Zea mays: one gene and its partners. The protein of the gene in region 2 interacts with the protein of the main gene of each other region in a pairwise test. Links are inferred from orthologs where the notes say so. Each region holds a gene or a part of one and is shown on either strand. Other genes may lie near its edges.

Region 1 (11,010 bases), about 250 Mb from region 2:
ATTGGGATTTATCTATCTCTCGGACAGAACTTCAAATCAAGATAAGTCCTATGAAACTCATCTCCAAGATCTATCTTATACCTTAGGTATGAGGGAGATTTGGAAAAACTAAACTTCTCTTTAATATATTATGTAGTGTTGTCATCAATTACCAAAAAGGGGGAGATTGTGAATCATCTAGGCCCCTTTGGTAATGTTTTGGTAATTAATGACAACTGCTTGTGGACTAACGATTCTAAGAGAAATAAGAATGCAGGGTTGGACCACATAGAACAGGAAATGTTGAAGAATCATACGCATTGGTTGTGAATCAGATGAAGGAAAAGGTATAATATAGGTTTCATTTTTGCCGGTCTTGAAGAGTTTAGAGAAGATACCTGACCGGATTAGTAGGCTAGATAGCCGTACTATTAAGAGGGTTCAATGACTTAGATCTGTGTAAAACTTAGTGCCTCATAGAGCATCAAGTAGTTGCATTTGCATGAGGACTAACAGCGCTTCACATTTCGTAAGTTAAAAGTTCTTTCAAAAGCATGTTTGAAAATTGCGAAGTCATGGACGCGCGGACTGTCCGGGCCTTGGGGGCGGACCGTCCGCGATCCTCCAGAGGGGGTCCGAAGTCTGACCACTTGTGTGGATACCTTGTTCTATTGCACTGCGGACCGTCCGGGCTTTAGGGCCGGACCGTCCGCAGTCATAACCAGAGAAGGGTGGCTTCGGGCAGTCCCTGAATTATAGGCGGACGGTCCGGCTGTGATGGGCGGACGGTCCGCAAGTGTCAAACTCGTTTTTGGACAGGGACTGTGTGTTTTTGTAGATTTGTACTACGGACTGTCCGGGGGACCAGTCCGGACAGTACTGTCTCAGGTCTCGGACCGTCCGGGATTTATAGCCGGACGGTCCGCGTGTGTTAACTTCTCTTGATCCGAGGCTCGGGTGTTTCAAGCTGCCAGGTCGCGGACGGTCCGGCCTTGAAGGGCGAACTGTCCGGACCCACCTTTTTGTGTCAGCTCTGACATGTTTCAAACGGTCATTATAGCCGTTATATGTACGGCGGACCGTCCGGCCCTAGGGCGCGGACGGTCCGCGTGTGCGCAGAACTGCTGCCTTTTGCACATAACGGTTGGATTTTGATGGGGGACTATAAATAGAAGGGTAGCTCGTGTGAGAGAGCTCTCTTGGCCATTCCTTGCACACATTGAGCTCATTTGTGATCCTCCAACTCACTCTCTCACACTCTTTGCTTGAGATTGCATTCTAGTGAGAGATTGAGGGTTCCTAGTGCATTTGCATCATTTGGTGATTCTTGAGGCACTAGGTGGTACACCGAGCAAGCGTCATTGGCTTGTTACTCTTGGAGGTTGCCGCCTCCTAGACGGCTCGGGTGATTGTCTCCGTCGAGCTCTCCAAGAAGATTGTGGAGAAGCCGCGGTGTTGATTGTGAGGGGTTCGCGCCTACCTCGCCGGAGCGGCAAAGGTGACATTAGTGGAATCGAGGTATTGAGTGATTTCTTGTCCACTTGGCTCAAAGATCAAGTTGTGTCTTGATAGAGGAGCAAGTGAGAGCTTGAAGTCCACCTCAACGTGGATTAGGGGTGATCGGCAAATCACCGATACCACGAGATAAATTTCGGTGTCTATACCTTCTCGCATTACTTATTGCCTTGCAATTGATTAGTCATTTGCTTATTGTTCTTCAAGTATTCAATCTCCGTAGTTGTTTTTCATACATTGTTTACTTATTGTCACTAGAGAATTTATTCCTCTTGTTGTATTGATTAAATTTATTTAGTATTTTTTATTTTAGTCAAAACCGTCTATTCACCCCCCCTCTAGCCGGTGTCCTAGATCCTACAGAGGCGGAGACCACCTTCCGAGGTCGAGGTTGAGGCCGAGCCCTGGGGTCGGGCGAGGCGGAGACCACCTTCCGAGGCCGAGGCGGGGGCCGAGCCCTGGGGTCGGGCGAGGCAGAGACTTCTCTTGAGGCCGAGGCCCAAGGTCGGGCGAGGCGGAGCTTCCTGTGGCGCCTGAGGCTAGACTCAGCTGCTGTCAGCCTCACCCTAGCGGGTGGCACAGTAGTCGGAGAGGGGCGAGCGGCGCTGTTTTCCTGTCAGGTCAGTCAGTGGGAGGGCGAAGTGACTGCGGACTTCGACCTTGCCGACTGAGGCGCGCGTGTCACGATAAGATGCCAGGCGATCCTTGCATTGAATGCGCCTGCGATACGGTCGGTTGGTCAAACGATTTGGCCAAGGTTGCTTCACTACGAAGCCTGCCCGAGCTGGGCTTCGGGCGAGTCGAGGGTGCGCCCGTTGCTTGAGGAGGCCCTCGGGCGAGGCGTGAATTCGCCTGGGACTACAGTTTCCGCCCGAGGCTGGGCTCGGGCAAGGCGAGACCATGTCCCTTGAAGCCTTGACCTGAATTGTGCCCATCAGTTTCTGCAGTTTGCGCTGATGGTGATTACCAGCCGAGTTTAGGAGTGTTGGGGGTACCCCTAATTATGGTAACCGACAGGACTGCATCGATCCCTAGGCTACAGAAGCCAGGGTCGACATAGCCGCAATGATGGTGTCTGGGACCATCGTCGTCCCCGCGAGTACGCATGGACTCCCCCGGGGTAAAACATTGGTTTTACTCTGCCTTACAACTCCTTCCCATAGAAGTCAGTAAGTCACCGTTGGTCGACCCCTAACCCCGCCTGTAAAAAGGGAGAGACTGGTCTCTACGCAAGGGGATTGAGAAGAAATGAATAGAAGGACACTTGGAGACGACCGAACGCCGTCATAAGGAGACGAACTCACAAGGACGGATAAGAGGAAGAGCGTCGACGAGGACCAGGAGGCCGGAGCCCCACCAAGCCAAGACTTAGCTAGGACTCCACCTCTTAGCTTCTAAAGCTCCACTTCCACCCGGTAAAGAGATCATGGAGTCTCTCCTCCCTCTCTCGACTGCTTGTAACCCATACTACGCGTTTGATTATCAATGGAGCCGGTAGCGCAAGCCACCGATGACTAGATGTAGGGACGTTCTGACCAAACCAGTATAAATCTTGCGCCCTCCGCGCACACCCTCTGGAGCTCAGAACACACACAATAAATTTACTTGTCGGAGCGAGATACAAAACACCGACACTAGTGATCAACTTCATAAAATTCACAAAGACCCTCAAATGGTGCTTCACAAACATTGCTTTCATACTTTCTCACGAAGTTGCACGAAAATTAACCACCATGTCACTCGTTATATAACATACCACTTCGGTTCTCTCGTGACACACAAATCAATTGTATTACAAATACCTCTTCGGTTCTCTCGTGACACACAAATCAATTGTATTACAGACACTGGAGTTTATGTGTAGACCAAACACTTCTCGAATCCACCTCAACAATTTATTAGAGTTGTTTTATGGTGAATCTGGAAAACCGAAGCTAAAGTTATTGAAGTGAAGCTCTATTAAATAGACCCTTATTAAAAAAAAGCAAAGTCAGCTTTCAACTACTTACCAGGAATATAGGGTTCGATTATTTGGCCTTCAATATGTTAAACCAAAAAACGGGGAAGACATGATTTTCGTTATTATTTAGCGTGCTACTAAAATTTTCCAATCTCCGTATACTCCCTCCGTCCTCCCTCCGTCACAGAATATAAGGCGTAATTTTTTTTCTTGTTCCATAATATAAAGCATGCTCTATCTATATATACGTACATCGATATAGTAATATATAAAATTAAATATAAGTTACCTTATATAATGGACGGAGGGAATAATTTACTAAATTTATAACGATTTTTTATCTAACTTTAGCTCATCAATCTTTACCGTGTCAAAATTTAGTGCCAAGAAGCAGACATGGCCCGATGATCTTTTACCCTGTTTTCATAGCTCGCGAGCCGCGACCTGTGTCCAACCTCAACGGTCACTGCAGTCCCAGCACCTCAGCAGCCTGCGCCTGCCATACCCCCTCCCCCACCCACCCACACACACCATCCGGGCCCACGGTGGGACCCAGATGTCATGCGCTGTACGGGCGAGCAACTAGCCCCCACCTCTTCCCAAGAGGCAAAACCTGCCCCAACCTCCCTCACACTTTGTCAGTTTGCCGTCGCTGTCGGCGCCGCCGCCTGTCCTAATCTCCTCTGAGTCCAGCGGCCACCTCCTCCACCGGGAGCTCCCCGTACCATAACCGCAGTCCGCAGCCATTGGAATTTCCGCTTCATGCGTGGATCCTCGTAGACCCCGACCCGCGTGCACTCAATCCCTAGGCGGCGGCCTCCGGCGCGAGGCTAGCGGGCGGCACCCATGGCGTCCGTGGCGGAGCTCAAGGAGAAGCACGCCGCAGCTACGGCGTCGGTGAACTCCCTGCGCGAGCGCCTCCGCCAGCGCCGGGAGACGCTCCTCGACACCGACGGTGAGGCATCCCTCCCCCCTCCTCGTCGGGAACCCTCTCGTGAGGTTCGGGGAATTCGCGTGCATTTGCTGACTTCTATGTGTGCGCTCGACTGCGCGGTGCAGTGGCGAGGTACTCCAAGTCGCAGGGGAGGGTGCCGGTGAGCTTCAACCCTACGGATCTGGTCTGCTGCCGCACGCTGCAGGGCCATAGCGGAAAGGTTGTTGACTTTGGTCTCTCACCTCCATTTCGGCACAACTTTTGCGACTTTTCCCTTAGTTTCCGTTTGCTCGTGTGCAATTGAAAGTGTGAGATGGTTGGGACCCTTTTTTTATTTTCATTTGCGATTGTGGAATTTGGAAATTGGAGTCGCTAGTGCTAGCAATTTCTACCTGCGATGTTGTTCGTCGTGAGTAATAAGTAATAGTGTAAATTGTAATACTAACTGGTCAATAGGATCGCCTCCATGGTGCGTGCTTGTTGACATGGATGGCGTTTTGTTGGTCCTGGACGTGGCTCCTTGTGATGTACCTTCAGCCTCAATCCCTCAACTTCCTTTGGATATTTTAAAAGATTTCGCCTAATTTACCAGGGTTTAGCACCATTCAAGTTTCTCTAGACAGTAGACACAGTATTGTTGATTACAGAGAGGTCGACTTGTGGTTTGGGAATTGGGAATTATAGGTTGGATGCACGTTACAAGGTTATTGGTTCAAAATTTGAAGGCCCTTGCACGTTTAAGGGGACAGAGTTTGTAAGTGCTCAATTAACTTTGTCCTGTAGAAAGTGTATCATCAGATTCATCCAGCAAGCAAGGTACTACTAATTTATAAAACTGTTATGGGCGTTTTGCAGCATTTGGCCACAAAATGGTTCTTAACTATATTAATTTGGCATTGCATCCGTAATTATATAAGCCTTACTGTGACAGAATGTGTAGTAACTGGTAAGGTTAAATCGGAGTGCAATTTGGTCTATGAGAATTTTTAAGTGAGCCATATAGAACTTTGAAAACTGCAAGTGCAGGGTTCACGGATCAAGGTTTGTAAACATTTATCAACAACTGGAATGGGTCCATCAGACCATCAGTATGTAAGTTTTGTCATGTATGATTTTACTTTCTTCAAGCATACCAGGCTAATCTTACCAAGCGAATAGAATTTTGGGTACTTTGCATTATGTAGGCACAGCTTGGCTCTGGTTACAGTAAATTAACACCATATGGTTGTGCCTAATCAGATAATATTATCTTCAGGCAGAATACATCTTTATGTTGAATCAAAGTGTGAATCTGAATTTTGATAACCATAGGTCGCTATAATAAGATTTAAAATATTAGCGAGCAATGAGGGCACTTCATATCCATTCTTTCCATAACCCCGAGGGAAAAAGCCAACTCTAGTACTTAACCATCAACTATACAAGAGAGAATCAATGGTACAACTGGATATGTATTAAGCTGGGCGATCATCATTCAGTTGAAGTAATTATTGGTGCTGTAACTGGTGATAACACGGAGTGTCTTCCATAGAAAAGGTTCCTTTTTGTTACAAATATATAGTTCAACATATTTCACGTAGTGCATTCATATGATCACTATATCACTTACATGTTATTGGTTGAAAACCAATTGTAGTTGTAGAATGGATTGTGGATAAACTGGTAGCTTTCATTTATCAGAGTGATAAGTTTGCTTCATTATATGTTTGTTTTTTCCTCAAAGATGATTAATATATGATAATTACATGGAGCCAGACTGCCAGAGTAATGAAGAAGAAAATGATACCGTTGCGAGGTTGATGTTTGAGCTGTGGGACAGGATTATCTGCATGTACATTCTGTTGCAGAGATACTTAGCGCTGCATGGATCTGTCACTGAAATATTATTCGATAATTGGTAGCTAGAGGTACAAGTAAACAATTCTGCAATTCTACTATATGAGGGGGGATAATGATTATTTCTAGGGGGCAAGTCAAATCATCATTGTAAAAGGGAAATCATTCTTTCTCTTCAGAAGCAAGCTAACAAGGATTATATCATCCCATTATTTTGGTGGCACTTGGCAGCCTTCTTTTGCCCTAGCTTTGATAAAAGGGGCCTGGGGAAGGGATAAACCGAGGCAAGCCTCCTCCCTGCTGCTAAAAATTAGGATCTTCCAGATTTATTGCCATTTAACTAGAGTATTTTTTTGTGAGGGCCATTTAACTAGAGCAGAACACCTCATCATGTTGCTAAAGTTATGAAAACTTTTGGAGACATGGACTTCCACCTGTTCGAAGATGCATAATTGCATATATTTGGATTTTGCGGTGATTCTTGGAAATTCAGCACTTCAGCTATCTGTGTAGGGTACTACTTGCAAAATTGCTGCATCAAATGGTTTAGTGGTATTCTATTAACTCCTAAGTCATCAATCATCACAGGTATATTCTCTGGATTGGACCCCTGAAAAGAATTGGATAGTCAGTGCCTCTCAAGATGGAAGGTTAATTGTGTGGAATGCATTGACAAGCCAGAAAACACATGCCATAAAGCTGCATTGCCCATGGGTTATGGCGTGTGCTTTTGCACCCAATGGCCAATCTGTCGCCTGTGGTGGTCTTGATAGTGCGTGCTCTATTTTCAATCTCAATTCTCAAGCAGACAGAGATGGGAACATGCCAGTATCAAGAATTCTTACTGGACACAAGGGCTATGTCTCATCATGTCAATATGTCCCAGATCAGGAAACACGTCTTATTACTAGTTCAGGTGATCAAACATGTGTTCTTTGGGATGTTACTACTGGACAGAGGATATCAATATTTGGTGGTGAATTCCCATCAGGGCATACAGCTGATGTTCAAAGGTAATTGGTAGTGCTTCTGATTTTTTGAAGACTGAATATTTTAGTGCCATGTGTAGCGCTTCTGATTTCTCTCCTCAAAGTTAATTGGTATCTTCTCATTTGTACATTTTTAACTTAGGCTGGTGCACACTAGGTTGCTAGCTTTACCAATATGTCAATGTTCGATGATCAAATTATCCCTATTGCTTCTAAAGTTTTCTTTGTAAACTGAATATTATTCATGTGGATTTGAATAAAGTTTACCTACAATGACTGGTTTGTATTTGTCTGCTGTTACAGTTGGACAATGAAAACGTACTTTTTAGTACTGAATGTAATTTTAGTAATAACAAGTACTCCTTCCATTCCAAATTGTTGGTATTTTAGTTTGTCATAAATCAAACTTCTCTATTTGTGCAGCAGTTCTAGTTACCCAAAACACTGTTTTGCACTGTAGACTCTACTATTCACAGAGTAGAGTTTGACTATGAGTATGGGTATGGGTAAACTGCTGGAGATAGCCTTAGGTAACTGTGTGTGTATTCTCTCCTGTAATGGGCTTTGGCCCACATACTCTGCTATACTAATACATTCCCAACCCACATTAGGGTTAGGGTTTCAGTGCATTTAACACTATTTACTAAGTTTATTGAAAATGCACCAATATCTACAATATCAGATTAGTTTCATTGATCCACCATGAGATATGACTTGGTAGTGCATTTTTCCACTCTCTGACCCAAATTATAGGTCGTTTTGGCTTTTCAATTTTTGCTATATAGCTAGATATACAATATGTCTAAATACATAATAGAGGTTATGTATCTACAAAATCCAAAACAACCTATAAATTGAAATGGATGGAGTATTTGGTATTGTGTGCGCATGTGCGTGCTTGTTGGACCGGAGGTGGAGTGGTAAGGTCTTCACATGGTAGCACAGTAGGCATTTGGATAACACTCTTGCCTAAGATTGCTGATATTACATCACTTATTATGGATGCAATTGCCCTAGTACAATTGGGCACTACTTACCAACTAGTCTAGCAGACGCATGTGCAAAATATGTTGTCTATGCAGCAAATACATGAACCAAAGTAACATATGGTAGCACATTTATGTTGCGTTTTTTAACTGAAAGTGCTGGTTTATCAGGTTATCATTGATATTTGGAGTTTGGTTTTGAATTCTCTGACCTTTCCCTTTCTTGTTCAGTGTGTCCATCAACTCATCAAATACAAATATGTTTGTCTCTGGCTCATGTGATACAACTGTGAGGCTGTGGGATATCAGAATTGCAAGTCGAGCTGTTCGAACCTACCATGGACATGAGGATGATGTTAACAGTGTGAAGTTTTTCCCTGATGGCCATAGGTTTGGTACTGGCTCAGATGATGGCACATGTAGATTATTTGATATGAGAACAGGGCATCAACTTCAGGTGTACAGTAGGGAGCCTGATAGAAATAGTAATGAACTACCTACTGTTACATCTATTGCATTTTCAATATCAGGAAGGCTACTTTTTGCTGGTTACTCCAATGGTGACTGTTATGTGTGGGACACACTTCTCGCCGAGGTTTGCATTTTTACCATTTACCATGGATTGAATACAGCTTATTTTATATTACAAAGGAAAACTAATGCCCATAATCAACAAGTTACTGGTACACTTTACTGTTTCGCCACGGTTTTCTTAATCGAGAAAAATATGACATACAGTTCACTTGGTGTGAGCCACATAAATTCAATGTTAGGCAATCAGTTAACACTAGTGATATAATCTTTATGTTAGATAAGCATAACTCCATTGCCAGTCAGTAGCAATATAAGCATACAAATGCGAAATCTAGCCACGGGAGAAAGCAATGGAATATGATGAACTAACTGCCTAAATTTTTATTTGAAATGCTCCTCAGCAACTATTGCAATTGCATGAATTGATGTTTGCATTGGACCCAGGACCTCATGAATAAGTAACCTAGCCTCGGTTCCTTCCATATTAGTCCACATATATCATCAACCTAGACTAGGCAGGTCATGCATACAAATTTAGAGGATGCTGCTGCAGATCACCTTGTATTGTATCAAGAGATTCCTAGTTAGTGCTATATGCCAAGAGGTTTAGAACGTTGGTTTTGATTTAGGCCAACTTAATGGATAATTGTATACCTGCATTTAAAAGCTTATCTGAGTTCAAGTTATTGTGAAGGCTTGTCGGTCACCTCCGTTATTTTTTATCTGTTTGTCATTATTGTTTATAGTACCTTCTGTTGTCAATTTCCGTTGAAATTTTGCAGGTGGTACTTAATTTGGGAAACCTGCAAAACTCCCATGATGGCCGTATAAGTTGCCTCGGGATGTCATCTGATGGGAGTGCATTGTGTACAGGAAGCTGGGACAAAAATTTGAAGGTAAGGACACTTAAGAAAGATCATTTTCATTGACTGCTTCCTCAGTTTTGTTGAATTGTTGCCTTTGACACTAACAGTTTTACTCTAACTGAAGTAGTAGTTGTACTACATGCATACTCAGCTTATGCTGTTTGTTAAACCCTACTCAAAGTGAATACCTTTCATTAGAGTACTCTGGTTAAATCTTTACTTGGTATTGATGACGAATACTCTTTGGATTGAAATACGGTACTTCTTAGTTCTTGGTACCTAGGATGGAATAATGGATTATACTCTTCTTTTTCCCCACTCTTAGCATATTCTATCACTAATCCTGAGAATTCCCAGATAAATAGTAGTTTGGTGCAAATTTCAGTATTTTTTATATCGATGGTGTCAATTGTTGAAAATTTACAGATTTGGGCCTTCAGTGGACACCGGAAGATAGTTTGAAGGCCAACTTTTCTCCCCCATGTTGTATGTTCCTTGTTGCCCCTTAACAACGGACAGTGGTGATTGGTGACCAACTCGACTTGTTCCTGGGAATCCCTTTGTTGTTTTGTAAGCTCTGTTCGCGCTATGTTTAATGGAAAAATGTGCAATTTGTCAGTGTCACGGCGCTACATCTTGTTGAGTTGGTAACTGTTTATACTGTTATTACGAGAATATCAGTAACGTGTGATCTGCCCTTTTCTTTGTACAACCGTTTGATCTTTTCAGGTTTTGTGAAGTAGCATGTATTTCCTTAATCAATTTATCATATCAGTTTGTCCATTTGCTGAATTAAGAACATTAGCTTAATGGGGCGTACTATATGCATTTTATGTTTAGTAATCACCACACTTTTGAAGCATGAATTTCTTTGTGCATCCTCCTCCCTCCCTTTGCCCCAGCGACTGGCGAGCAAAGAATGGGGCGTGCAGGATTCAAACTTTGCCTCACTTCCTTCCCTGGGGCTAGTTTGGGAACTATTTTTTAAGTGATTTCTATTTCTCCAAGAGAAAATAAACTAATTTTCTTGGAAAAATGTAAATCCTTTGGAAAATGGGGTTCTCAAACTTGCCTTTTCATATCCACTTGTCTTGTATAAAGAAAAAAATATTATAAATAATCATAATAATGCACTGGCAACTAACTACAAAATACTAGTATTTAATATATGTGCATGAGGCAAGGCGAAGCAAATGTTTATCTTGAGTGTACTCTCGAAGTCATAAAATAATAATAATAAATAAATGTACATGATGCGAGGCGAGGGAAACATCAAATATCAAAACTGTTGTTCCAGGTATGCATCTTTCATTGACTTGTCATTCCCACTAAGAACCCAGCCAAACTCCCAGAAACGTCCATGACCCAGGAGACGCTGCGAGCCAACCGAACCTTAGGCTGAGTCCACCCT
Region 2 (10,919 bases):
TTATTTCAATTGAAATACAATTATTATAAAAGGCACTCAGAATAGAACTGGATAGCATCAGTAACAGAACAGATGTTCTGATCATGGAAAATCAATTAGTTTTAGTGACTTAGAGGCAGCTATAATTAATTTTTGCAGCACCCAAACAAAATCTGAAGGAAAAAAACAGCTTCTGAGTACAATTTGTCATTACAGTTAAGTTCAAGCCAATCAAGTGCAAACAAGGAAACTGGGCTTACTCGCTAATGGCAGCACAGAATATTACAGCATTAACACCTTCGAAAAGATGGATCCATTTCCTTCTCTCGTTTCTCTGGCCTCCTACATCGTACAGCCTATAGACCTCTCCGCCTCTTTTGCTCTCTCCTAGAGGGCTGCAGGGAAAAAAACTGATTATTAGAGTTATATCTAACTAATAATAAGCAAATAGCATAACCAAGGAATACCTAAACTGAGTTTCTACCACACCATTTGTCCGTACTCTTGCATGAAGCACATCCTCCTGAAAATCAGCCCTTGTCAAGTAGCGCAAATAAATTATCAAATATACAAATCAAGTACAAGCCTTTTCCGACCTCCTCAAATAACCAGGTAGTAACAGAAATAGATATCATGAAATACCCACATGAAAGGAAATTAAAACAAAATATAAGTTTAAATTTCCATATGGCATGAGGATGACTGGATTCCAATTCAGACAGAATTTGATGTTCAGACCAGCAAAACCCTATTGATATTACACAATTAGCTTATACTCAGCCAAAGCTGCTTATGAGAACCTTTTCATTGGATCAATTCAGTTTGAACCTAGTGATAAGATTTGGAAATCGTGCCCCCCCCCCGAAATGCAAGTTCTTCCTTGGCTTGCTGCCCTTCAGAGATGCTGGACAGCAGACCGGCTGCAAAAAAGAGGGCTTGAACATCCTGCAAAATGCCCATTTTGTGATCAAGATCCTGAATCAATTGACCACCTACTAGTTGGCTGTGTTTTCGCAAGGGAATTTTGGTGCAGATTGCTGGGACAGGTCAATCTTCAAGGACTTGCTCCTCAGCCAGGGGAAGGGAAGGCCATGGAATGGTGGAGAAGGATGAGCGAACAGGTGCAAGGCATAGCAGAAAAGGGACTCAATTCCTTAATAATTCTTGGTTTCTGGACCATCTGGAACCATAGGAACGGCTGCGTCTTTGACAAGATCACTCCAATGTAAATGTTGCCATTAGAAGGGCTGAGGAAGAGAGGGAGTTGTGGGATATGGCAGGGGCCAAGAGCCTCTCTCTTCTAACAGCTCCAATTCCTGGGCTATAAAGCGGTAGTTCTCTTGGTGTTGTATGGACGTTTTTCTGTATTTTCGTTTTTGGCCACCGTAAGGTGGTTGTTTTTTCTTGTACTTGTACTGGTCCATTTTGGACCCTTTTTCTTCTTAATGTAATGATGTGCACCTCTCTAGCGCGTTCGAGAAAAAAATATTACACAAGTAGCATATATGATCGATCAAGAAATGCCTTTAGGAAAATATCCACAAAGAGTATCATGACAGATCACGAACGAGATGATTCCATGTTACTTTAGAGGTTGTTCCTTTTTTAACGTAATGGCAGGAGCTCTACCTCTCAATTAAGAGGAAGAGTGGAATTGGCCCAATTTTAAGGAAAACCGGGCCCAAAACCTACACAGGGTGCACAAGCAACCTAGACAGCAGCAGCCCCACACACAAAGCCCATCCAGAGTCATCGTTGCCGAGCTCAACACAAAGAACGAGCAGCTTCGACTCCCCAAGACGGACAACCTAAGGCCAAAGAAAAACCTGATGATGTCTACACCCAAACTCCGACACAGAAGAAGGAAGACCGCAGTGCGCCGTCGTTGCCAAGCATCAAGATACCTCACGTGATACAACTCCGATTCTTCACCAACTTGACTTCCAATCTTGATCCTCCGCCCTGCCCCAGGCATATGCCCAACCTTCGACGCAATCCTGTCAATGAAGAAGGGGGATTTCGCCTCACGTCATCGTTGTCGAGCCACATCCACTGACGTAGCAGCTTCGACTTCACGCTGCAACACCAAACCTTCACCCGCATACCGAACGCCGAGAAGCAAAAGCATCAACCGAAAGGCAACACCATGGTCGAGACAAAACTTCAACAGCGACGCCTTCAGGGAGGGAGTGACATCACGGACGCACCGTCGCATGTCCGAGATGGACCGGGCTTTCGCCCAAGGAAGATAGTGCTGGGGAATGCAAAGCCCTCAACAGGGAAAGCGAAGCCCGCGGGTGCCACCGTCGCCGAGACTTTCACCCAAGAAGTCCCCCAGCACAACGTCAGGCCAAGACCCCGGATCAAAGCAAGCAACCTCTGTCGTCATCGTTGATCTAACAACCCACACAAACCCCTCCAGAGGGGCAGCGACGCGTCGACTTCGCAGCAGCCACAAAGCTGCGTCGGCCACCCCCCCTCCGGTTGGGCACACGGAACCGAGCACCACCATGTCGCATGCGACACACCGACGCACGCCGGAGCCAATACCGGCAGACGCGGCCACCGAAGCCAGCAGACATCGAGCACGAGTGCCACACAACTCGCCTCCAACAGCACCTGGTGCTGCACCCTCCGTCGGCCCGACTTGACAGCAGCAACCGCGACATGGCAGATCTTGGCGCGCGCACCACAGCAGGCGCCGCTGGGGCCACCCCGCTAGTCCACCGTCGCCCCAAACCGACACACACTTGGACGCTGTCGAGCCACCCAACCTCGGAGCACCATCGTAGGACCAGACCGCAGCCATCACCGCCCCAACACCTCTCAGCCTCCGAGCTCCGCACGCCGTTGGTTGGCAACGCTTCTTCCCCGATCCGGCGTCCTGGCAGTGCGAGGAGACAAGCTCTACGCTCCTCAATCGTCTCACAACAGGAGGCGACCGCTGTTGAGGACCAAGCGTGTGATGCCCAGCCACGACGAGGTCCCGGAAGAAGTGGAGCGACTTGTCCTCGGCACCGAAGAGGAAGAAGGCTCGACACTCTGCCTTCTCTGCCAGCCGCACCGTGAGCCCCAGCGGCAGCACTGGCGAGAAAACCGCCTGAAGGATCTGCCAGTACAGAGACAGAACCACTGGCGCCTAGAACAGCCTGCTGCCAGCACCTCCCTCTGCCATCCTTCCGCTGCCGTCCTAGAGACAGTGGTCGAGATCGCGGAGCGCCGGAACGTGGCCAAGCCACGAGGCCGCACGCACAGCGCCACACCCGCGCGGGGACCTTGACTGCCTAGACGCCGCCACTACGCGAGCCCGCCTACTGCTGCGCCGCGACTAAACCGCCCGACACAGAAACCCACTCAGACCTCAGATTTGAGCACGGGGAGACCAATCGAAGGAAGAACGCCCCGCCACCGCCATCCTTGGGGCCCGCGCCGACTTCGGGTAGACTCCTCCGGCGACGACGAGGGGGAGGGAGGGGAAGGGGGTGGCGACGCTAGGGTTTAGGGGCCACCCGTGTCGCCCGAGCGGAGGACGACGCGGGGGCTGTGTTTTTGAATCCTCCGCAGCATATACTATCACTTTAGAGGCTGTTCCTAATGTGCTACTATTATTCAAATACATAAATATAATTTAACACCACCTTTATTTGCTTGAGAGGAGGGAACATCATTGCTGAAGAAAAATAACTTGGCTAGTGTGACCAAGCTTATGTTATGGAAGTTGACAAAGGAATCGGAAGTCTTTTCAGCAAAGAAAAGTTTCTGGTAGAGGACCACATGGAAACTCAAGAGCTTGAGGCCTGAGAGACTCAGATAAAATTAAGCCCGATATATTGCAGTTTCAAGGTTATTAAAACGATAAAACGTTAGAACGTTCATGGGTGAAATTTTGACTTTTAAACGTAGTTTTAAACAACATAGGAAAGATACCAATACATCATAATTTCAGACAATAATATGAAGTTATATACCAAAACAGAGAGGTTAGTGGCTTACCAAAACTTCACCCATGAGCTGGATTGAACCCCAAAAGTAACTAATAGACTGGGCCCAAAAGTAGCTAATGGTCTAAAATGCATAAAACACTGCGTTTTACAGTTTAGAACGCCAAAACGCTAAAACGTGGTTTTAACCTCTAATTAGAGTTTTGACGTTTAAACGTAGTTTAAGCATCATTTAAACGTAGTTTTAATAACACTGTGCAGTTTAGTAGTTTTTTTTCCTTGACGCACTGCAACTGGGCATGACGATTCTGCCTTGTTATATGCAAGGTATAATATGTGTTTCCTTACTGAATATTTTGAAGGAAGGAGAGAATGTGTATAATGTGTGGGATGTATTGCATTGAGCCTCTAGGGAGAATATATAGGAGTACATGACTTGGAGGGCAAAAAGCCTATCCTAGAGATAAGAAAGGTTATCCCAGATGTAAGGAAGGTTATCCCAGGATTATAATCAATCCTAAACCAACCATATCAGGAGTTGCCTAATATACTCTAACATGCATAATATACTCTAATTTAACTAATGATCTCCTAAGGTCTTCAAAAGAAATATTTCATAGTTAATCTAGGTTCTCGTTCTGCTGCTATCTGATAGCCTCAAAAGGTAGATTTCAGTACCATGACAATCAACATGAAATATGTGACATTGTAAAACGCATATGTAAAATCTCTCCTAAAAATAGATTGAGGATAATTGTGTACCTTTGTCGGTACATAATCTTCTTCAGATAATTTGTCCAAATTTTCCATGAAGTACTGTGCACAGTCTGGGACTTGCAGAATACTCCCACGTGAATAAGTTTCCTACAAATGAATTTCTAAATGATCAAACTTTATGTTTAAAAGTTTATACATTTTTTAAAAAAAATCAAAGTAAATGGAATTTCACCTGAATGGCTGGATCTTGCCATAGTTTTCTTACATCCTGTACACGTTCTTTGTTCAACGATGGGTATTCCAATCTGGCACCAATTTCTGATAGTTTTTCTCCAATCTCCTGAATTAATAATAAAGTTACAATACAAATATACAAAAGGTAATTAAGTAAAAATGTGTGTGGTGTGCTATGAGAAGCTTCTAAGAGCTAATAAACGCATTGCAACGTCTACCAAGATGAGATTTGTTAACTATTTAACCTCATAACTACAAACAAAGCAAATGCTCATAACTTGACATAGATGAATACTGCATAATAAACATTTGAGACAACAAATATTTGAGCAAATCTAAAGCTGCCTTCTCTGAAGCAATAAAATGTAGGGGCAAGGTTCCTAGCTGCCTTCTCTGATCAAATGCTCATTTTGTTAGCATGTAATCGTGCAAAGCATAATAAGGCAGTTTGGATTATAACAGCTCCAGGCAGGTTCAACCATAGCAATTGTGTCAGGACCACACCAGGACAATTACATTGCAAAATAACCAAGTTTGCCAAAACTTAACTCTAATTTCTGAAGGCAAGTGTGCAAACCTGATTATCTGGAGATAAGACATATTTTGAAGAATCTGGTTCCACTTGGGCTAACTCTTTAGCTCCCTCATATAATATCTGCGTGTGCATGTTTAACTCATTTACTGAGAAAAAATATCTGCAAATACACCCTCATTGGAGCAGCAAGAAACTCCATAACGAAACCTTCCTACATAATCATCTCTACAACGTGATAGAAAAAAAAAGACACACCCTTTTTAGTATAGCATACTTTAATTGTCTGATACACATTAGCATGGATGACTGATGTGTAGCTCCTAAGCTCTGCCTCGTCAAAGCCAGTTTGGAAAAGAAGCTTTATCTGCGAATGAGCGGTAAGACACATCCGTGACTTGCTGTCTTGATGATGACATAAGAATTATGATCCTCTAGGGAGTGGCATAAACCTTACTTGTTTAAATATTGTAGACTTCCCCGATTCTCCAGCACCTTACAAAGAAGTGATTGAAAAGGAGGATGACTGTTAGGAATACAGGCAAAGTACCTTATCAATGGACAGGCACATTATCAAGTCTAGAATGCATGGAAAGAGAAGTGACTAGGGATCAACTTCGCAACAGTTCTTTTGGCTGATCCAGCAAACTATCAAGAGAGAAAACTACAGAACAGATATACTTCACATGAAGAAGAAAAAAAAGCTCTTAAGTTCAAGTAAGTTGGCATTACCGAGAAGTAAGAGCTTGTGGATGTGTTGTTCGGCTTTTGTTTCTTGCAAAATCCTCCGGTCAATGTCTGCAGACTGCACCCACACTGCTAATGTCAGAAGGAACCAAGTGTTGCTGCTTACCAACACAAAATCATAACCTCCTGATAGCATCAGCCTGGTCTAAGTGACAAGTTACCTTTGCATTTTCAGCTGCTTCAGCCTCGTCGAAAGAATGGGATCTGCTACAGGATGAGCCCATGCTTTCAATCACGCAGGTAAGCACAGACATTATTCTAGAAGCGCGCTCTCATGCCTGGCTGGGGAGCGGATATAGTAAAGGACATGGGTGTACACATGTACGCCCAATAATGTTTGCAAAAACACGAAGTTAGAGCATGGTACATTTATAAGCTTGCAATTAGATCAGATCAGATCCGAATACAAATACGCAAATAGCTTAGGTTAGGGTTCGGGTGCTCGGTTCCGCACGGAAGCAAGCGAAGAAGAGGGGGGTGCGCGTACCTGGTGGGTGCTCGTCGGCGAGGGGGCCGACGAAGACCTGACGGAGGGGCTGACGAGGCTACACCTGGGCACCTGACGGAGGGACGCGGCGGCGGTCGCCCACTAGCGCCACTCAGAGCCAGAGGGGAGAGAGCGAGTGAGCGAGCGCACGCGGGGTGAACAGTAGAAGAAAGGCAGCGGTGAACTGGAGTTCCGTGCTGTATGGTCGCCACCTGGTACCAGTGAAAGCGAGAAGGAAAGGCACGTTCTCGCATCGCTGCCGAGAGAGAGCGTGTTTGGTCGAGAAACGGACGAGAATGGAACGAGGAGGTGTTTTTTTTTCTGGGTGTTTAGTTTTTAATGGAACAGAAATAAAACGGCTCATAAAGTCTATAGGTAAAAATGTATCATAAATAATTAGAATGTTTTTTCCACCAAAATAATCGGATAGGAGCGCTCTTTTGGACGGGAGGACTCTCCCCCTCGTTCCCTCCCTAATCATATGCATCTCTAACCAAACAAAGAATATTTTACTCTTTAACCAGACAAAAAAAATGAAACACATATATTCTGCTTGCCAAACATAGGACATAATGGCTCCATTCTTTGAAATAAAACTGTCACATTCTAGTTAACTCTTCAACCAAACACACCATAGGGATCACGTTGAACATATTGGTTTGCTACAAATTGAAAGGAAACTTTTGCTTAGGCGGGTGTCAGTGCACCATCCCCTCTTGCTCTACCACGTCAGCTCCAGACTGCACTCTTGACCTTATTGTTCAAGTGCATAGTCTGCAACAGGCTATACCCTAAACCCACAACCACATCGGGGTTTTCTATTTCAGAATTAAGTAATTCACGTAGATTTATGTCAACGCTAAAAAACCACACAACATACTATTTTTATTGAAATAAAAATTTGTGATATCCTGGCCCCTGAGATGGTGATATCCTGGCCCAAGGCTTAATAAAATTAATAAAGTATCCATACCAACAAGGTGCATCTTCTTTTTTCAGAAGTCTGTCTCGAAAAAACCTCCAAGTTAAGCGTGTTTGACTTGGAGCAATTTTGGATGGTGACCGACCGGAAAGTTTTCTCGGATGCGCACGAGTGAGGACAAAGTACGCACAAAAGACTCGTGTTGGTCTGTAGGGACAATATATGATCCTAGAGAGCTGTTAGGAGTAAGTACCGCCGGTCCAGGGATTGGACGCAGTGTTACAAGTGGTATCAGAGCCGACCCTCGAGGTTTCACGGGCGTGTGTGGGCTAGGGGGTCGGGTATATGGCGCATGTGGGCCCAGAGTGGTCACATGGCATGGCATATGACGACACTAGACACACAGACGTGACTAAGAGGAGAGATTCCTGGATTAGAGTTGACCGACGAGGACGCCGGTCTTCTAAGGGGGGTGGATTGTGATATCCTGGCCCAAGGCTTAATACAATTAATAGAGTATCCATACCAACAAGGTACATCTTCTTTTTCGAAAGATGTCTCGAAAGAACCTCCAAGTTAAGCGTGTTTGGCTTGGAGCAATTTTGGATGGATAACCGACCGGAAAGTTTTCTCGGGTGCGCACGAGTGAGGACAAAATGAGCACAAAAGACTCGTGTTGGTCTGTGAGGACAATATATGATCCTAGAGAGCTGCTAGAAGTAAGTACCGCCGGTCCAGGAATTAACGGGGTGTTATAAAGCCTGCCCTGGTAGGGGTTATTTGTATAGATGAATTGGGTATGGAATTTGTGATTTTCACAATTTTACGAACGTTTTGTACTTGTCGAAACCGACTAGCTACATCGCTAGCACATGTGGCGCTGACGTGGCCAGGTGGACCAATCGAAACTGCCACCTCACTATCGCCCCTTGCTATCACCCAGTGATGTTGCCACCAACGCGTCGCTTGCCTTTCAACTATCTCTTGCTCAGGGACATGTTCCAGTGGTGGATGAGAGCGGCGCGATACCGCCCGCTCTCACTGGCAGTGGCAGCGTCTCCCACCAGCTCGCTCGCGCCCGCCTGTCGTCCCACTCCCTCCTCACGTCGGACGTAGGGTTGACGAGTGCGTGCGCGCAGTCAACCAAACACCGTCTCTCTTTCTCTTTAGTATGTGAAAGGGAATTAGGCTTACACCTAGTCCCTAATTAATTTTGGTGGTTGAATTGCCCAACACAAATTTATTGGACTAACCAGTTTGCCCAAGTGTATAGATTATACAGGTGTTAAAGGTTCACACTCAGCCAATAAAAAGATCAAATTTGGATTCAACACAGGAGCAAAGGGCCAACCGAAGGCACCTCTGGTCTGGGGGCACCGGACTGTCCGGTGTACACCGGACAGTGTCTGGTGCACCACCGGACATGACCGGTGCACCAGAGGACTCCAACGCCAACTCGCCACCTTCGGGAATTTCCAGAGGCACTCGCGCTATAGTTCACCGGACTGTCCGGTGTACACCGGACAGTGTCCGGTGCGCCAAGGAGGAGCGGCCTCAGGAACTCGCCAGCTTCGGGAAACTCCAACGGATAGTCCGCTATAATTCACCGGACTGTCCGGTGTGCACCGGACTGTCCGGTGCGACTCCGGAGCAACGGCTATCTCCGCGCCAACGGCTCTCTGCCGCGCATTTAATGCGCGCTCTGCGCGCGCAGAAGTCAGGCGCGCCCATACTGGCACACCGGACAGCAAACAGTACCTGTCCGGTGTGCACCGGACACCCAGGCGGGCCCACAAGTCAGAAGCTCCAACGGTCAGAATCCAACGGCAGTGATGACGTGGCAAGGGGCACCGGACTGTCCGGTGTGCACCGGACTGTCCGGTGCGCCATCGAGCAGACAGCCTCCCAACGGCCACTTTTGGTGGTTGGGGCTATAAATACCCCAACCACCCCACCATTCATTGCATCCAAGTTCTCTACTTCCCAACTACTACAAGAGCTCTAGCATTCAATTCTAGACACACCAAAGAGATCAAATCCTCTCCATATTCCACACAACGCCCTAGTAACTAGAGAGAGAGATTTGTTTGTGTTCTTTCGAGCTCTTGCGCTTGGATTGCTTCCTTCTTTCTTGATTCTTTCTTGTGATCAAACACTCACTTGTAATTGAGGCAAGAGGCACCAATTGTGTGGTGGTCCTTGCGGGAAGTTTGATTCCCAAAGTGATTTGAGAAGAGAAGCTCACTCGGTCCGAGGGACCGATTGAGAGAGGGAAGGGTTGAAAGAGACCCGGCCTTTGTGGCCTCCTCAACGGGGAGTAGGTTTGCAAGAACCGAACCTCGGTAAAACAAATCCGCGTGTCACACTCTTCATTTGCTTGCAATTTGTTTTGCTCCCTCTCTCGCGGACTCGTTTATATTTCTAACGCTAACCCGGCTTGTAGTTGTGATTATTTTTGAGAATTTCAGTTTCGCCCTATTCACCCCCCCTCTAGGTGACTTTCAATTGGTATCGGAGCTCGGTGCTTCATTAGAGCCTAACCGCTCGAAGTGATGTCGGGAGATCACGCCAAGAAGGAGATGGAGACCGGCGAAAAGCCCACTACAAGCCACGGGAGCACTTCATCGGAAGAGTCCCGCACCAAGAGGAAGGAGAAGAAGAAGAGCTCCTCCAACAAAGGGAAGGAGAAGAAATCTTCTTCGCACCACAAAGAGAAGAAGGAGAGATCTTCCTCCCACAAGCCACATCGGAGAGGGGACAAGCACAAAAGGATGAGGAAAGTGGTCTACTACAAGACCGACACTTCATCAACATCGACCTCCGACTCCGATGCGCCCTCCGTAACTTCTAAACGCCAAGAGCGTAAGAAGTTTAGTAAGATCCCCCTACATTACCCTCGCATTTCTAAAAATGCACCTTTACTTTCCGTCCCATTAGGCAAACCACCAACTTTTGATGGTGAAGATTATGCTAGGTGGAGTGATTTAATGCGATTTCATCTAACCTCACTCCACAAAAGTATATGGGATGTTGTGAGTTTGGTGCACAGGTACCATCCGTAGGGGATAAAGACTATGATGAGGATGAGGTGGCCCAAATCGAGCACTTCAACTCTCAAGCGACAACAATACTCCTCGCCTCTTTAAGTAGGGAGGAGTATAACAAAGTTCAAGGGTTGAAGAGCGCCAAGGAGGTTTGGGATGTGCTCAAAACCGCGCACGAAGGAGATGAGCTCACCAAGATCACCAAGCGGGAAACGATCGAGGGGAGCTCGGTCGGTTCCGGCTTCGCAAAGGGGAAGAGCCACAACACATGTACAACCGGCTCAAGACTTTGGTGAACCAAGTGCGAAACCTCGGA
Region 3 (10,897 bases), on a different chromosome or scaffold from region 2:
GAACAAATGGTAAGGGGGGGGGGGGGGGGGGGGGGAACTGAAAATTTGCAACCATGTGGCGCTAGAATGTGCATTATACACAGGTGGTTATACTCGTACATCTGAACAAACAAACTCTGCTTACCTAGCTACAGATGAACATCAGTCTATCTACCGACTGTTCCTACTCTAGCCCTCCTATGTACTCCGGCCGGAGCGGGAGCGGTGAACCCCAAACCCCAGGTCTCGTGTTAAGACGATCAACAATGGACACAGCGGAACCAATTCGACGTGTTACTAACCCACTGCTCTTACAGTGATGTTGCATTCCCTTGTTGGAGATTGAAGAACGAACAGATAAACAAAAAAAAGGCTTCGTGTGCATGGAAATTCCATTACATATCAGTTACCCTCAACGATAAGAGAAGTGAGTTCATTTTCCTGTTGACTCCTCAGCCTTGACAAAGCAGGGAGGCTCCTTTTTATTCTCTCAGGTAGGAACCTGGGAAATTTAGAAGAAAAAAAATTATATATAGCTACACAGTACTTTCTGAATAGCGGCATAACTAGAATGCTTACAGTAAATAAATGCATAGCGATGAAGAAACGTATGGTTGCGACTATGTTGCAGATTAAAACTTACGTGTCGATTCTCTCTGCAATAGCTCGGCGCACAGAAGAGTTTAGCCCATAAGCAATGGAATTGAATAGGCCCTAGATAAAACAGGAAACGTCAAAATATCCACACACACACACAAAAAAAAAAAAGAGAGAGAGAGAGACAGAGAGAGAGAGAGAGAAGCGAACCATGGAATATAGTTTGGTGTCAATCAAACAAAACACTTACATGAATAACTTCATATCCAATATAGGAAAAATAAATGGATGTGTGCATTTAAGTAGGGGTAGGCATGGAAGAACAAAGCAAAAAGGTGCATTATAGTTATCATGGACTTATAATTGGTGCATCTGGAAGAAAGCTAGAAGGTGGAGGAAGTATTGCTTATGATAATGAAGGATTGAAGACACACATATATTTCATGTACCCATTTCCATAAGAAAAGCACAAGAGTGGTCAGACCTTTAGCCTTCCCATTCACTCATTCAGAGCTAATTACTTGCAGGGACAGGAGAAAAAAATGAAGCAATGTGGAGGCCTCTTATTCAAGCCCCTTTACTATAAATTATGCCCACCATATGTAGGTAGCCTGAGTTTTTATAGAAAAGTTCATGGTATGCTATTTCAGCAATTTAGTATAAAAAAACAAGCATTAATAGACTCACCATAAGTCCAGCGAACCCAACATCAAGAAACGAGAGCCAGACTATCCTGTGCCCTGGATTGGCAAAGTCATAAAGACGATTGATAGTTGCAAACGCCCATGAACCGATTAGAATTAGAGGGTAATAACCCCATCGGTTAAATGCCTGCAAAAAACAAGCAATCGTGTGTGGCTCAAATAAACTTTTATCCACTTGTTTTTGCATATAACGAAGAGCTGTCTGTATAGAGGTAATTAGGACAGGAAGGGAACATGATAGAGAAGGTTGAGCACACTCGATAACATGTTTTCATCAAAGGAGCTGGCATATTGTCTGTTAGTTTATCTACAATCCCGGATGTATAAAATTTACGAGAGCATGTAAGCTATCTTGGGAAGTAAAAAAGGATGTCGATAACAATCAATAGGAAAGGGGAAAATACTCCAGCAGAAGCACTGAAGCAGAAACAACGCCAAATATTTGTTGAGGATTTCGTACCTTCCTGCCTGCCCTAATGTCAGACTGATTTGATTGATCACTTATGCCAGCAGCCATCTAAAAAATCATGAGATTTTTAAAATTCAGAACATGCAAGAAAAATTAGCAGAATGTGCCAAATAGTTCACAATAAAGATCACAGTAACCTTCAATGTACACGGGAGAATTGTTGAGAAAAAGTCTGCTAACCTGCGTTGCATTATTCAGCATGCGGTTTACTTCATAGTATGTAAACCCATTGTACAAAATGGCACCCCAAAGTGGAAGATAAAAGGTTATTAAATGTAGGACCTGCAAGTAAGGTCAATTTAGTGAAAGAATTTCTATTCTGGTGACAAAATTGGAATTTCAGTTTAAATTCATTGTCTAGCTGAGGATAGTGACTTTTCATAGTCCAAGAAAAATATGTTGGAAATTCCATATAAATTGTATAAAACTCCCTTAGAATTCAAACATAGATGAGCTTATACAAAAATTGTCTTTAACGTAATAAACCGAACTTCACTTAACATAACTCTCGAAGAAGTGGCACATACTACTAATGTTTGTGTAATAATCAAGGAAAAAACTAAAACAACACAAAAGATCACATGCCTTTGCCATGCTTCCCTGCTGAATCCAGCACCAGGTGCCTGGTCTTCCGTAGTCACTTCCTATCGAACGTAATACAGTGGTAGATAGTGAAGTTCCTGGAGAAATAAATAAATAAAAACTCAAAACCATTTATAACTGTTTTTTATAGCTGGCACAGTGACATATTGACACATGGCTTCCAAAGTAAATCATTAAAATAGTGACCTACTGTTAAAAATGGAGTATGCCTACCTACAGTACATCAGATAAAAAGATTCGAAACAGACATAAGAGAGAACAGCTACATATTGGTCCCAAAATAAGATGATGCAACCAAACTGTAAAACTAAAAGAAACATATACATGAAAATGCAGATAAAGGCAACAACAATGAAAACAATGGACCATTTGAGCATGCTGATCTGCAACAAAATATCCAGGGATGGGACAATCAAATTGGAAACAGAATCTATAGCCTGAGATACTAGGGCGTTTGGCAGAGCTCCCACAGCTCTGCTCCCAGCGAGAATCACTTCTAGAAAGCCAAGTGGCTAGAAACTGAATTGCTCCATGGTGAGAGTGAAGTGAATTTAGTCTCCATTTTATACTAGAGAGTGGAAGCCAAAAAAACATGCTTCCCGTTGCTCCCAACCTGCTCCCCACACTCTAACCTCTCATGAATCACTTCACGCACAATTTGCCAAACGGTTTTCGTCAAATAGATTCACTTCTACTTGAGAATTATTTGGAATCACTCTATTGGAGAATTAGCTCTCGGAGCTAGAGAATCATGGAGCGGAGCTCTACCAAATGAGGCCTAAACATATTAACAATTAAATAAATTCAACAGTTATAGACACAGGTGCAGATTATGGACAGGTAAATGGATTGGAACTTGCAAGATTGGCTTCTTACACGGCACAGAAGGACCCAAAAGTAACAGAAGAAACTGATGAAAATAAGTACACACATTGAATCTAAAAAAATTCTAAGGGACATTATAACCTATGTGTTATCAAACAGTTGCAACACAATACATCAAACATAAATAAATGGTATGGACAATTTTAGCTTTTGTCAAGAACACTGAATCATATGGATAAAAATTTGTTATTTCTTTCAACACAAGGTCTCTCCAGAAACTGTTCTCTAACTTGTCCAAAATGTTACTTAATTTGGAAAATATAAATTCAAACAAAGGCAAATATGTAATCGACAGTTTGCATACCCCACACATATAAGTGGAAAATAGATCCAAATTCTTCAACATCAGTTTTGTGTTTTACAACTGTGCGATGCAGAGTGAATGATATGGTGGTTGTCCATAGAAAAGAAGCCACACAGAAGAAATGAGCACTGTAGTCATGTGCAAAGCAGTAAAATGCATTCGATGGCCCCCTGCAACATAAGAAAACATCGTTAAGAAATGTTTTACCATGAGCACATAACCAAAATATGCATTCAGACACAGAGACAAATGAGAGAAAGAATAGTCTGGTGTGTTTTTCTTAAACAAAAAAAACAATTATTCTGTTTTAATACTGGCATTGATATTTCTTAGTAAGCAGAATACAAGGGTAAGGTTCAAATTACTTGGCCATGAATTGAATAATAAGCATAACTGATTCTGCATATCTTCATTCTGGTAGGCTGTTAATAGCAAAAGTAAATTAACACTGAGCATGAAACTGAGGAAGTATTTATGTGTAGGAGAAGAAATGCAACATACCCCAATATAGTGAATAAGCTGCAAAACATATCCTGCAATTGACAACAAAGTTATCATAAAACATGAAACAGCTAGAGCAATAGCAATAATGAACAAACCAAGCTTCAGCTAATGTTTCTATGTGTCAGCTAAGCAACTAGACATGTAACATCATTTTTTTTCCTTTTTCTCAAAAACAAACTAGTTGTCAAGTGATGAACTAGTTAACTAGGTGCTTATTATGGCCATTGGTTTCAATATTCAACAAAATAAGTAATATGACACCAGCTGATTCCATATTTAAGAATGAACTCTGAACTATATGTATGAAAAATATGCTCCCATTCCCATCTAGTGATCTAGGCAGTAGGCACTATCCAATTGGAGGCAGAGCACATGTGTCCCTGCAACAAATCATAGACTCAAGACTTCAAGGGGGTGTTTGGCATAACTCTGCTCCACTCTAAAGCAACTCTGCTTCAAAACTCTAGGTGGAGCAACTGTGCTCTGGAGTCTAGATTGCTTTCTCATAAGTGCCAGTGGTGGATAAATACCTTCAAACTCCATGTATAGGTTGCTTTTTAAGAATACTGCAGCCTCAAAACTCTATGGAGTTTATAACTCTAGAGTTAAGGTATTGGCTAGCTCTGGCCAGTTTCTCTTGGAGTTTTGCTCTCGAGCGATGCCAAATACCCCTTAAATATCTTAGTGTCATACTTTAACCACTGGAATTGGAATGGTGTTTCAAACAAAATCCAAATCCAAGTGTAAAACATGTACAGTATGTGCTATGACGGCACTAGACTAAGGTTATCACACAACTGTTGAAATCTACCTCGTAGGTGAAAATTGACGATGGTATGCACATTTCTGAAGGTCCAGTTCCCTGCTTACTGATGACACCAGATTCTGGAGAAGTGGAGAACTAATGCATCTAATATGCATAAAATTAACTCACACCTCTTCTAAACTAAGGGTGTGTGATGAATGACCATTTTCCTTGCTAGCCATGAACGACTATTTTCAATGACACTGAAGGCTAACACCTAGCGGCTCTGTGGTTATTCATGGCTATTTTTGAAATAACAGCCACGATACATCGCACAACTAGCGGCTCAAACCCGAAAACCCTTGAAAAGCATCTAAGTTCGAGCAGGCCACTCACCGAGACGGCTAGGTAGAAGACGAGCTTGAAGGAGAACTTGCGGAGCTCGCGGAAGAGGAGGTAGCAGATCACGATGAAGGAGGAGCCTGCCAGCGAGAGCGCCGCAGCGCCAGTGCCCACGGCATCGAGGATCTGCCGGTCCCGCAGTGCCTGCCTCATCGCCGCCGACGCCGCCGCGGCAACGGCCGGAGCCATCGCCGGCGATCTATGGGACGGGGGATGTCAAGTGAAAACGACCGGGGGAATTGTTGATTGCTGGGCTGGATTGGGTTGGGAGTTGTGAATTGTGACCCCGACTGCCTTCACCGTGAAGCTAGTGTGTAATTATCTGGGCTTTCCTCGGTAGTTGGCCTCCTGCGTTATCTTTTTTTAAAAAAAAATCCTTACATTTCTTCAAAATCAATTCAGCCTAAAATGAATGTTAAAAAGCAGGGCAACAGATAAGCTTTAAACCCACAATATGATAGAAGTGTTAAGTAACCCTAGTTAGGGTTATATAGGCAAATACCTGCTTTGCTCCTGAGGGGTCTCACATCTCTATATAAGGTACCTGTACACCCCTCATAATACAGAGATCAGAAAGAGGCCAGAGGCCCAACCCTATATCATGTGTATCGTGTGTTTCCTCTGTCGTGCTTATGGGAAGGGAGACGGGTTCTCTACAGCTTCTTGCACCTCTACTGCTGACGGGAGGGAAGGAAGCGGATCTGGTGATCCGTGGTAACGTAGTTTTCAACACGTTATCAGCACGCTCTACCTCCACGTTGCTGCGGGATCAGATCTGCATCAACTCTTCATCGAGCCGGCAGGTCACCGGCCTAGCCGAACTGTCCTACGCGACAGACTTCGATTACCCTCTACGCAATCGAACGGTATTTTTTTAGATCTACTGTTCATAGGATCTCACCTAGCGGAACTTCCTGCTCTCATGTTTGTTTCGGTGGGAGTCCTTGCTGCTCCACAATCTCTGGTGGGTTCCAAAGAACGTGCCCATGCAACAATCCGCCTAGCGCGCTGCACTGACCTGACGTCGCGCACCGCTGATCCTACTGCGTCGCGTGGGCCCGCTGCTCAATGCGCCTCCGCTGCGGGCATCCTGGCTACCTCGCTGGCGGGCCTCGATCGTGCGTCACACGCGCAGAGAGGAGTGGATCGTCCATGCAGGCAGTTACTGACCGCGAACTTGACTCCGCTAATTGCTCCTACGATAGATACAGGTGGGGCCACTGACTTGCTTGCATGCTGCCGTGAACTCGTGATGGTGCATGTATGTGATGGCGCATGGAAGTAATGGCACATACATGCAACTGCATGGCTGGAGGCCTGGAGCCTTGCGCCCTTGCCCATCCGGACGTGCATGCAAGATTAAAGACGGGCATGTAAGATTAATGAAGTGGAGTCAACGCCTCCAGCTTTTGTGGGTCCTTTTTAGATTTCTTTTCTTCGTGATGAAAAAATGAGAACCAGAATCGTGGACTAGTTCAGTTGGGTTCAGTTATACCTGAATAAAACAGATTTTATGTTACGGTTCCTACTCTAAGTAATTATTTTCTACAATAAATATTAGTAAAAAATACATGCTCTATATTATTTATTCTATTTATTTCCTGTTGTAAATAACAAGTAGAATAAAGCATATTTTATGTTACAATTTCTATTTTAATTAATTATTTCCGGCAGTAAATAATTAGTAGAAAAATACATATTTAAATATGGAAAATGCTTTTTACACCTGATGTGTTATGCTCATGCAATAATTTTGGTGTCTATTTTTCTGCTTTTATTTCTCGTAGCGGATATTTAGCAGAAAATTATTAAAATGCATGTAAAATCTATATTGTTCATACTTAAATTGCTCTAAATATTTGTGTTGCGTTGAGCTTCAGACTCACGCCGAGCGATTAAATGGTATAGTGGGTACACAGATGTGGCGATCAGGTTACATTATTAATCGGCTGAATTAAGACATTGGCTAAACATTGGCTGCGCCCTGGCAACACGTCATAGTATTTATGTCGTTCGAACTTGGTTGCGTCATGTGATTGCTATGTCGCACTCTTGCTTAGTCGGATCGCTCCCGTTGAGTCGGACCGCCATTGCCGAGTCGCGTATTTTTCGCATGCCCTGCAGGCACTGTCTGTCTCCCGTGATCATCGAGTCACAATTGCGCCTGTTGCGCACATTACGTGGACTTATCGTGTACCCCGATTACCGAGCCATAATTGTGCTTGTTGCGTTAATTACGAAGGCTGGCTGTGTTGTCGTAGCCCTGATGGCCACACACGCGTTGACACCAGACACTAGAGCTTGTACTCGTGTGGATTGTGGTGGGTTATTCAAGCCCCTGAAGTCACATTATACGCAACCTTCATAAACAATTTTGTTTGGCTCTATATTTTATTTGACTGTGTTGTGTGGCATTATATATTTATATATCGCCAAGTGGCCATAACAACTATATCAAGCTCTATAGTGCTTGAATAATCTGGGAAATTAAATTGAAATATAATGAAACATAGATAAGTTAATTCTTTGCTCTCTCCTCATGCATAAAGTTTTACCCGAAGTAACCCGAAGATATATAATATAATGCATGAAAGCCTTTTTGGCATAGAAGACATCACAAATTGGGATTCTATTAGTAAGCAAAAGGCCTTACCAAATGATTTAAGACTATAAATCTCAGTCATACATTGCTCAACCAGATGTTAGCACATTGCTCTCTTTGTCGCTGAATGACATGAAGCAAACATGAGTTAAAAGGACATGTAATCGCCAGCAACACGAAGTTGCGAGTATACCGAGAGGTTATTCTGAGAAAATTTTCACTATGTTGGTGTGAAAACTATAGTGTGTTCCCGTCGAACCACTTTATTCGTTCTATCTAGGACCTCTATGCTTGTGTCGCATACATCTCTCGGAATTGTAAATACTTATAGTCACTGAATTGACTCGGGATAGTCCTTTGACAATTTGGTATACACTGTAAGCTAAATGGTAAAGGTCGGTCCTGAATGGACACATACCTGGGGTTTATGTAGCCGAACTACACTGAATTCCACCCTTTGGCATGCTTACCATTATCTACCTCCGATCTACCAGAAGTGAGAAGAGTAGACAAATAACTATGAAATCTCACATCACCACAGAGCTTGAAGCTAAATTAGACATTAACATATTCTTGGTCCTCGGAGCCAGAAGAGTCATATGTCTTGACCACTAGACTACTAGTGATGATAATTTGTGATACAAATATGAAGATCTTGTGGAGACCTATTGTATCCTCTCTACTCCTGATGATTTCTTCGTATGAGAGCAGTACTATCTGTTGTTGAAGATGGATCCTAGGCAGATACCGGTCCTATTTCATTCTTGCCAAGCAGTTATCATCATTTGCTTCATCAAAAGCTAGTTATATGGTGATTTTCCCAGATAAAATGAATTCTTGGCCTTGTCTGTTCTATTCCAAAGCTTCTCTTTTTGACGAACAACGAAGAGATCGAAATAATGATTTATAGAACAAATTGGTATATAATATGAGGAGAAAAGTTTGTCCCGCTGGCAGCTTATATCACAAATAATTGGCTATTGTTACAAGTTCTCTCTCAAAATTATAATACCTAAAAATGTTGCATAAATCGATACTCAATTTCAGAATGGTATGAGTAATTGGGTAACCCATGGGCAATGATAAAAACGAGCTGGACTATACATCTCTGCATATAAAAATCTCTGCTTGGCAGTATTGGCCGGATACCGTGCACTTTACCACCATTATATATGCGCAAACTCTCCTATGTGCTTGAAAGCACAATGCAACCAATGAATGTTCTTGTGAGCGCTAGACCTGATGGTCATTGTCCTTGTTGATCTGAAGTCAACTACTTGCTCCAAACGACAAATGGTGTGCATGAGCCCTAAAGTTTTTTTGTTTTTATGGCTAACATATTGTTGCGCGTATCAGTCTAAATCCTGATGATTGAATGTATATTTGGTGATAATAACAGTAAGTTTGCAGAATTGTAACCACAAAGCGACTTGTTGTTGCGTGTCTTGCTAGAAGTTGAGACTAATCCTTCACGTTGAAGGACAAATATGTAGTATTCATGCCACTACATCAATCTAAGTCCAAAGCTCACTGCATAAAACCCCTATCTGTAATGTGCGTAAGATTTCCCAAATAAATCACCACAATAGCATACATTGGCCACAAACTAGATGATTATGGTTGGGGATTTTATCTGTATGCTTTTAGAACATCTCGTCATTAGGGGGAGGAATGTCCATATAGTGTAATGCCTCAATATTCTATTAAACGCACAAAAGCCAAACTGAACCCGTCGTTCGGAGTGTACTCCTGTGTATATGGAGTTTGCCAGAAATCGTTGAGGAGTAACAATATTGGTTTGAATGCTTCTACCTAATGTAGATGTGGATATACCCGGGATTAATATCATATCCACATTTGACTTATTGGCATTTAATCTATTCTGCGGGGACGCCTGCGGATATGATCCATCGGCCTTAGTCAAAGCATATGTTCTGATTGCAGATTCACGTGGTCTGTGATAACTCTCCTCCGATTAATTCACCCTGATGATGATTTGCCTCACGAAGAGGTTCATCTTAATGATGAAGTTCCTAGCAATGCGCGCAATATCATTGTGCTGGGAATACGGAACAATGAATCTTTCGTTTTTGGGAAACGACGGAGATCATTATTAAATGTGGGAGACAAATATGTCGACACCTATCTTGCCGCTCTAGATTGCAAATGGATCCAAAACAAAGTCCTAGGCATGAGTGCTTGAAGCTCTCTTATCGGGTCATTGATAAATGCAATCGAGGCTGAACCAATAATCGCAAAATGAAAGTCGCGAGCTTGAAGTTCGGACATTTATGGGCACTATTGAAATAATGTGTGGTGAATGTGATGGTTCAAGTGGTCTTGTGAGAGACCCATCCCACGTATGTGTTGAATAAACACTGTTCCGCTATGTAATATAACTGGTAAATGGCATGAATTAAAATATGCAGTTAATAGGATTCTGAAGATCCGTCATGAGATCCTAGGAGGACTCATATATTTGAATTATAAATATGCAACATATAAATCTCATACCGAATAATACATTCCTGATGAATGATCACTCTCCTATGTAGGGAGAATATCTCGTAGTTGAGACTATCGTTCCCAGATGGAACCTATCCAGAAGAAACAAAGTCTGTGTTGAACACCAAAGTTTGATAATCCCTATAAAGGGATAAAGACCCATACAGACCCGAAGAGGAATAAGATGAGGTACCAAATGACTTGAAGTTCACCGAATAAGCACATGTGCATTCCATGAGTTTTACTCATGGTAATTTCCACTAGATGTGGAATTACGGTATTCTCTAAAGCCCTGATGGCAGAAACCTATAAGGTTTAGGTGTTACTGGCAAAATATCCCCATTGTGCCAGAATGACAGACTATAACGATGTATCTGATCGATGAAAAATCCCTAATGGATTACGATCTTAGATGGACTTTTGTGACACCATCATAGATGTTGCAATGGATGAACGCCTCGAGCGATGTATCATATTTAGAATATGTACTATTGCAACTATATTATCCCCTAAGTCCTATTGAAGGACATGTTATTTGCTTTGCACAACTATGTATAAATTGTGGTGTAAGATAGAAAATGATAGCACCCCAACCTCA

The links.
Region 1: the proteins of ct2 (region 2) and guanine nucleotide-binding protein subunit beta interact in binary tests that used the Arabidopsis thaliana proteins (3 or more experiments, as listed by UniProt). The link is inferred for Zea mays from reciprocal best matches to the Arabidopsis thaliana genes GP ALPHA 1 and AGB1.
Region 3: the proteins of ct2 (region 2) and G protein-coupled receptor interact in binary tests that used the Arabidopsis thaliana proteins (3 or more experiments, as listed by UniProt). The link is inferred for Zea mays from reciprocal best matches to the Arabidopsis thaliana genes GP ALPHA 1 and GCR1.

The regions. Positions count from the first base shown.
Region 1 is NC_050096.1:264,531,307-264,542,316, reverse strand, and holds guanine nucleotide-binding protein subunit beta, read left to right. Parts: upstream 1-4,085; 5' UTR 4,086-4,300; coding exon 4,301-4,409; intron 4,410-4,513; coding exon 4,514-4,608; intron 4,609-6,143; exon of another isoform or gene 6,144-6,812; coding exon 6,813-7,237; intron 7,238-8,430; coding exon 8,431-8,794; intron 8,795-9,515; coding exon 9,516-9,629; intron 9,630-10,025; coding exon 10,026-10,061; 3' UTR 10,062-10,372; downstream 10,373-11,010. UniProt on the Arabidopsis thaliana protein: Guanine nucleotide-binding proteins (G proteins) are involved as a modulator or transducer in various transmembrane signaling systems.
Region 2 is NC_050096.1:16,618,849-16,629,767, forward strand, and holds the start of ct2 (Guanine nucleotide-binding protein alpha-1 subunit), read right to left. Parts: upstream 6,757-10,919; 5' UTR 6,638-6,756; intron 6,433-6,637; 5' UTR 6,405-6,432; coding exon 6,312-6,404; intron 6,209-6,311; coding exon 6,136-6,208; intron 5,899-6,135; coding exon 5,861-5,898; intron 5,771-5,860; coding exon 5,681-5,770; intron 5,527-5,680; coding exon 5,449-5,526; intron 4,978-5,448; coding exon 4,870-4,977; intron 4,785-4,869; coding exon 4,683-4,784; intron 503-4,682; coding exon 447-502; intron 375-446; coding exon 240-374; intron 1-239. UniProt on the Arabidopsis thaliana protein: Exhibits a fast rate of basal nucleotide exchange. Guanine nucleotide-binding proteins (G proteins) are involved as modulators or transducers in various transmembrane signaling systems.
Region 3 is NC_050101.1:119,609,860-119,620,756, reverse strand, and holds G protein-coupled receptor, read right to left. Parts: upstream 5,468-10,897; 5' UTR 5,382-5,467; coding exon 5,187-5,381; intron 4,075-5,186; coding exon 4,043-4,074; intron 3,712-4,042; coding exon 3,542-3,711; intron 2,430-3,541; coding exon 2,335-2,429; intron 2,032-2,334; coding exon 1,930-2,031; intron 1,798-1,929; coding exon 1,741-1,797; intron 1,408-1,740; coding exon 1,264-1,407; intron 694-1,263; coding exon 623-693; intron 482-622; coding exon 382-481; 3' UTR 25-381; downstream 1-24. UniProt on the Arabidopsis thaliana protein: Together with GPA1, may regulate the cell cycle via a signaling cascade that uses phosphatidylinositol-specific phospholipase C (PI-PLC) as an effector and inositol 1,4,5-trisphosphate(IP(3)) as a second messenger.